2 linked regions of the Arabidopsis thaliana genome follow. The protein of the gene in region 2 interacts with the protein of the main gene of each other region in a pairwise test. Each region holds a gene or a part of one and is shown on either strand. Other genes may lie near its edges.

Region 1 (4,558 bases), on a different chromosome or scaffold from region 2:
TAAACCATTTATTTATTTATTTATAAAGTTTATATATGTATATAGAGAACTTACCAGGTTTTGTTATCCCAATTGTCCAATTGATAATTAAAGTATACCGACTTCTAGTTATAGGACTTCTAGGTGCATGCATGATACATACATGATGCATTATGCATATACATGAATTCTTCTAAAATGGATACATAATTAATTAGCACACACACTATCTTGGCTTCTTCGTTTCTTGGACGTCTTGGCTTTTTTTGGTCGACCCACATTAGCTTATTTTATATACACGATAAGAGACATACATTTTCATTCGCCAGGCCTGATCTTATATATTTATGTATAGCCGTATAGGGATATTTGTATGCATGCGTATTCAAGTGCTTCTTCTTTTCCGATCTGAATTGGTCCTTCTCTTTTCATATTTTCTTCACTTTTTCTTTCAATTTTCTATTATTTTTATACTTTCTTTGTACACATACTATATGAAGCATATCTGTATACACTGAAATCTAATCAGGAAATACGTAAAGTATCGTTACAAGAAATACGTAAAATAATGCTTGCCAATGATTGATTATCTTATCTAATCATTGGTATAATCTATATACGCACTTGCTACCAAATATTGCACTTATATGGAATATGAAGCATATATATGTTTATGGAAACAATAATGCCTTGGTATCATCATCACTTATATATATCATTTTAATTTTGTAAGTGCACTTGGATTAGAAAGGATATATAATTATATATCAACTACTTTGTTTGGTATATCTTTTAGGTCTTAATTTCGTTGGATGATTAAAGTTGTAGCTGACCAATACTATGCTAAGTCGCTAAATATTTTAATTATAGGAAATATAAGATCTATAATACAACCACAAGAGTTATCCAACAAACAACAACCTTTTTTGTGAATGGTATCTATATTCGTTGAAAATGACGGTATAATTTTAAATAGAAATTGATTACAGTTTTTTCTTTTCTTTGTTATGCACTATAGAAACTTTTTTTTTTTTTTGGATTCAAGCATGTGGCTCAACCATCAGGGTATGTCAAATTTTTTGAATGAACACATCAACTAATTAAAAGAACGTAAAAGTTAATAACTATTTTTCAGAAATGTAAACAGTAAAATCAAGACGTTAACAGTTAAATTCAATCAAGCAAAATGACAGTACACATGTCGGATTTGCTCAGATCCTCAATAGTTCTGATGTTCTTGTAAGTTTGTATCCCAAAACTTTCTGAAATTTAGTTTAAACAATATATTTAAGTGGTCCAAAGACTTCACAAACATTTTTTTTTTACGGAATAATAAAACGTGGAAAGGTCAAAGGTAAATAAATAATACTAATAGCTTACTAATTAAGGTTTATCATTAGTTTTAAATAAATAATACTAATAGCTTACTAATTAAGGTTTATCATTAGTTTCTTTATAAAATGGTTCGGACTCCTGAGGGTATATGGCTGTACCTTAATTTAAATACATGAAAGTATTGGTTTACTATCATTTGATTTTCTTTCATTGTTAAATTATCTCATATATTCTTAAGTTACATAATAAAAGAGTATTTTTTCATGACAAATTATCGCTTTTATATTTTACATACTTACTGAACCGTATCATATCACATATATAAACAATATTATATACTAATGGCTCGTTTAATTTTTTTCTTTTTAATAAATTAGTTGACAAAAATTATAAATTAGTTTTTTAAAATTTAATAGAAAATACGTTATGCTGTCAAAATTAAAAATAAGATAGAAAATATGTTGTATATTTAGTTATTTACTAAAAGCAATTGAATGGAGTAAAATTTGCCACGGTCAGAGTTATTCTTTCTTAAGTTCACTATTTTAGGTCCTCAATTAATTGAGGCCAATTTGTCTTTTTGTAATCTCATTATATTCATCTTCTTTCTCTTTCTCATCGCACCAAAAATGCCTTTTGCCCCTCTCTCTCTATATCCAACCCATGTCTCCTCTTTATCTCTCTAACTTTCCCCTTAGAGAGATTCCTCTTTCTCTCAAACTAGGGTTTCCTCTCTGAAAACAACAAAAATATCCCAATAATTGCAAAATCTACTTGAAGATTTTTCATTCTCCTTTCTTATAATTAATGCCCAAGAGAGAAACAAAGAAGATCAAACCTTCTCAAGAAGTTATCAAGGAAGGACCTTTTCTTGTTGCGATCCATTTAAAGGTAAGACCAAGAGTTTTTCATTCTGTACAGCCAATTCACTCACACTTGCATAATATATATACTTTCTATATATGTTGATTGATTATATAAATTTAGAGAGTTTAGATCATGAAAATTTGATCACTGGTCTTGAACTACCAAGTTATAATTTGGACGACCTTTTTTCTTTACAAAAGAAAGAAGAAGTTACAATTGAAAGTGAAATCAGGAATTCGGGACTTCTAATATACAGTGAAAGTATCCTATATAGCAGGTAATAAAACTCGGTCATAAATTCAAGATTCAAACTAATATGTAGTACATGTGGGGAACTCAGAGTCAGAGAGACAGAGAGTGCTTTGATGAGAACATGTTGTTTGTTTGTTTAGAACTAATACTAGCTCTAAAACGTAAAACCTGTGTGAGTAATTCGAATTTCCGACACCCATTTTCTTCATATTACTATGAATATCATATGGACGTTTACATTTTAATGTGTAATGTTACACAAGTTTATATAATTTCCCATAATCGTCTTGTGTGTTAGATTCACCAATAACTTTTTAGTATGGATTATTCTCAATTTCCCAAGATTTTATAATTATGTAAAATTAATTCATTAGACAAGGATGTATATATTTGTTTGAGATATATTTGAAATATAAATTTAGGTGGTATAACATCTTTTTGACGCAGAAAGAACACTATGAATAATGAATTTTAAGGATAATAAGATAGGAACATGCATCATACGTCTTCTAAGTTATATTGATGATGAGACTATTATTTCTAGTTACCATTTTACGTAGAATATAATGAATTTTGAGGATTAAAAGACTAAGAACATCATACGTCTTGTAAGTTATATTGTATTGATGATGATACCATTTTATTGCTACTTTGCTAGTTACCAAATTCAAAATGGAAATAAAACATTTGAAACTGTATCAATTTTTAAAAAGTGTACGTAGACATATTGTTGATAAGATATTGATAATTGATGTATATAGAAGAAGAAGAGACTCCAGAGAATTACAATATCGATCGATATGGATCAAAATTCATATCAATCTTATACTGTAGTTTCGAGAATTACTAATAAGATACTATGATGTGATTAAATCGTTTTTGCCATTTTTTTGCAACTGAAAAATCAGGGGATATATATGTCGAACTACACAAACTCACCGTGTGCAGCATGCAAATTCCTCCGGCGTAAATGCACGTCAGACTGCGTATTCGCACCCTATTTTCCGCCGGAGGAACCTACAAAGTTTGCGAACGTCCACCGGATATTCGGGGCAAGCAATGTGAGCAAGATCCTCCACGAAGTGGCTCCCCATCAGCGGGAAGATGCGGTCAACTCGCTGGCTTACGAGGCGGAAGCACGACTTAAAGATCCAGTGTATGGCTGCGTTGGAGCGATCTCGGTGCTCCAAAGACAGGTCTTGAGGTTGCAAAGGGAACTCGAGGAGACAAATGCTGATCTCATGAGGTACGCTGGTTGTCTCGGTGGTGAAACGACGTCGGCTTATGGTGGTCGGAGGGGTTGACTGGTCAACGAGAGTTGATTAGTCATCATCACTCTTTGAGAAAATTAGCGGCGGAGAAGTATAAAGAGAGAGAGGATGGTTGATGTGATGGTAAGTGTTATTAGTCGTATGTATATATGTGTAAATATGGGGACATGCATGCATGTATATTTATGTTTATTTTCATGTATATACTTATGCGTATGTGTAATTTAACTTGTAATTTTTTTTTCATGGGAGAGGTCAAGGAATATTTTTGATGATGTTGAATAACTAGATCTTGCTCATGCTCATATCTCCATAACTCTCTTTAACTTGATCTAGCTCCACTGATTTACATGTGGCCCATTGGTCATTATTCACAAGTTTTTTAGTTTCTGCTAAAAGATTTATGTTCTAAATTATGTATGTACACATATTTCATTGATTAATGACAGATTTTCTAGCATTTTATAAAGTTGCATTCAACGAATTGTGATTGCAATATTACTATTGTATTATGATATTCAAAAGAATAAAATTTCATGTCGACGGTTTTGTATAGACTCATAGGAATGTAGGCTAATAATTGGTTGTTTGATTACACACACTAGTCACTGGTCAGAAACACAAAGTTGCTAATATTTTAAGTTAATTGAGTGATTTTATATATTTGTCGACTTGAAAAAAGTTTAAATAAATTAATCAATTTAGAAACACCAAAATTTTGTAGCTTTAATTTAGGCACATGTCTTCATAGGGAATCTCTTTTTAAAGTCGGTCCTTTTATAATTTTATGTCATTTGGGGCGAACTAACAACCACATATATTTACATACAAATCAACTAATCTTGTCAAAAGAA
Region 2 (3,394 bases):
ATGACTATATTGAGCTTGGGCTTGACTCGTCAGGGATTAGATGCTTTGCAATGTACAGCTTTATATCGATGGAAGATTGTGAGGAGAATCAAACGAACGCGTGGTTCAAATCCAAACCCAAAATGTTACGAGCTTTAAGTGTTATATTTCGTCTTACAAACGACATAGCCGGCTTCGAGGAGGAGATGAGGAGAGGAGAAGTGGTTAATGGGGTGAACTGTTACGTTAAGCAACATAATGTTACCAAGGAATTGGCGGTTCGAGAAATTAAGAAGATGATTAGAGATAATTACAAGATAATGATGGAAGAGTTCTTGACGATAAAAAGTGTGTCACGTCCGATTCTGGTCCGGTGCTTCAACATTGTACGATTGGTCAATCTGTATTACGAGGAGGGTGATAATTTCACCAATCCCAATGGCAAGCTCAAAGATCTCATCACATCTTTGTTCTTCCATCCTCTTCCGCTTTGAAGACTTGGCTCCTTGCCGAAAAATTCATCTACATTTCTCTTTCCATTATTATTGATGATTGTTAATTTGCTCTATGCACATATTTTTCCATTAAATTTTAATTCCTGGGGTTTCAATTAGTTTTTACTATTTTAATTTATTTTGCATAGAAGTTTTTTTTATAACTTTCACTACCCACAACGACAAGGAAAGTTGACCAAAAGAATGAAATAATATCATAATTCATGTTTATATACGTTATACTATTCAATTCTTAATTCATGTTTATATACGTTAAACTATTCAATTCTTAATTATGTTTCTTTGCAAATAATATTAAATTACACACATGAGTTCTTGAACCAAGGAACGTATAAGTTCAAAAAATAGACTGGAAAGCAAAACTTTGTTATACTTGTTGAGTTCTTATGTAGGATCCAAATCTTGTAGATAAGCAACAATATATAATGGGCGGTGAGATTAAGACTGAAAGTATTTTTTTGACCACCGGATGGACCGTACGGATTTCCACAATTCGATACGGTGTGGTTGTTAGTGCCTTAGTGGCGGTGGTGACCATTATGCAGCCATTTAACTATTTAGGGTTGGAATTTGGCTCATGAGGTTTTACTACACATCAAGAAATTATTTGGAGACAGAGCATCGATCTTCTGCTGGTCGGGTTTTAGAATTTCATAAAATCAAATTTTGGTTAATTTAGATGGGTTTCTTTCCCCAATTCTTCGTTATGAACAATTCATTATTTTGGTCAACTTAATTGTCTATGACTCTATGGGCAGTTACATAATGTTACTATCATATTTGCTGTCAAGACTCTTGAGATATGGCATATATGGACTTTTGTACGAGAACCTAAAGTTCTAACCAACACATGATATAAAGGACTAATTGCTTTTCTTTTCATTTGGTCTTACAACAACAAAACACAATATACTACTTTGACTTAAAATAATTGATCTTTTATATGAAACACTAATTTATCTCAGTATGAACTATGAAATCTATTTCCTAGTTGAAAAGTTTAAATATTTTGAACTTTTTGATCAAGTTAAATATCTATAATCTAACTAAGGCCCAGAATATACCAAATATGAAATATATTTATCAAGGCCATGTCAATTTTCTTGGAAGGCATGTACAAAGTTTTTACTGAAAACATATTTGATGTGTAAAAAAATATTTCTAAAAAAATTTAGAACCCAAATCATATAAATATCAAACTTGTCTTCAATCAAAAAAATAATATTCAATCAGCGTTTTCTTTCAAATACACACAACACACTATTTGTACACGCTTAAAGACAGCTTTGCTAATGTACAATATCCATGTAAGTAATAGAGACCCATGCATGCATGACAGCATATTTCCACTTCACAAGTAACTACGTAGGAAGCTCACTTCACCTGAAACCAAACAAGCCATCCACAAATTCTATTCCCTCATTTATTGTCTTCTTTATTTCTCTATATATACAATTTCACTTAACCACTGACTCTATAACTCAAAACTTCTAAACTAATTCGCACAGTTCTATATACACTCACAAACACACACACACACAATATAGTGCTACTAAAATAACCTTGTATTAATTATGGAAAACACTTACGTTGGCCAACGAGATTACCGCTTCAACGTTAACCAGTTGTCCTACAGAGGCATTCGTCGGAGGAAATGGGGCAAATGGGTATCGGAGATCCGAGAACCCGGTAAGAAAACAAGGATTTGGCTTGGAAGCTACGAGACGGCCGAGATGGCTGCAGCGGCCTACGATGCTGCGGCTCTTCACCTCCGAGGACGTGGGACCAATCTCAACTTTCCGGAACTCGTCGACAGTTTTCCTCGGCCGGAAAGCTCTAGTTCGGAGCACATTCAAGCGGCTGCACAAGATGCAGCACTTATGTTTAAACCAGGTAGGTTGAGTGAACCAGCTCTCGAGTCTGGTCAAGGACTTTCTCGAGTAGGATTGTCTCCGGATCAGATTCAAGCGATTAATGAGTCTCCATTAGACTCGCCGAGGATGGGGTGGATGCAGGATTTGGAAGTTGCTGACTACGAAGAATTATACGGACAATTTTTTGGTCAGCACGATAGGGATGAGTTTTTTGAAATGCAGCAATTTCAGTCCATATGGAATTCTAATAATTGATATACGTTCGCTTAATTGCTTAACCATTTGATTTTTTTTTTAATAATGTCATATCATCAACCAAGGTTTTTCGATTATATTCAGTAAAGTATAATAAATTTTCGACCCTTACTGTTTTTCTTGGGTTCAATTTGTAATCTCTTAACAATGATGATGTCATAAATACCAATATGATTAATTCAAATTTTCAATATATATGTAATGTTTTGGTTCCTTGTCAGTCAGATAGTATCATATGGTTTATACGAGAAATAAATATAAACCAAGGAAAAAACTCAATCCAAGAAAAAAAAATGTTATCTTATAAAAACTTAGAAAAAAGGGTGGTTACCTTGTGCTTCGTCTTCGGTTTTCGTTGTGGTATTCGTTAAATTGGAATAAGACTAACTCCGAAAAATAGGTAAGATTATAGACCAAAAACCTGAAACTCCTATGGTTTATTAAAAACAAAATTATTTGATGAAAGTCCATTATGTAGACACATATAACCCATAATATATACACACGAGCTGACGTGCACGTACCAATTCGTACTATGGCCGCCTCAAAAGTACAGGTTTATTCCATATTATAGTGAGCATGAGTCCGTTGAAAAGCTTTGATTACCTAAAGATATACTATAATCAGTATCAATAACAACTGTTGCAGTCAATATTATATTAGTATGAAATGTTTTAATTGTCCCATACGTTCAGTTTTCTGTTAGGCCTAATTGCGTGAAATTATAAATTAAAGTTTTAATTAGATCATAATGTAAAAGCATGAATTTGA

The links. Proteins that work in one complex are often made in the same cells at the same time.
Region 1: the proteins of AT1G33760 (region 2) and LBD25 interact in a two-hybrid assay, tested with the Arabidopsis thaliana proteins (one large-scale study listed by BioGRID).

Annotation. Positions count from the first base shown.
Region 1 is NC_003074.8:10,236,610-10,241,167, forward strand, and holds LBD25 (LOB domain-containing protein 25), read left to right. Parts: upstream 1-1,904; 5' UTR 1,905-2,121; coding exon 2,122-2,205; intron 2,206-3,341; coding exon 3,342-3,737; 3' UTR 3,738-4,039; downstream 4,040-4,558.
Region 2 is NC_003070.9:12,235,876-12,239,269, forward strand, and holds AT1G33760 (Integrase-type DNA-binding superfamily protein), read left to right. Parts: upstream 1-1,671; 5' UTR 1,672-2,068; coding exon 2,069-2,623; 3' UTR 2,624-2,835; downstream 2,836-3,394. Other genes in the region: AT1G33750 (Terpenoid cyclases/Protein prenyltransferases superfamily protein), read left to right, coding at 1-473.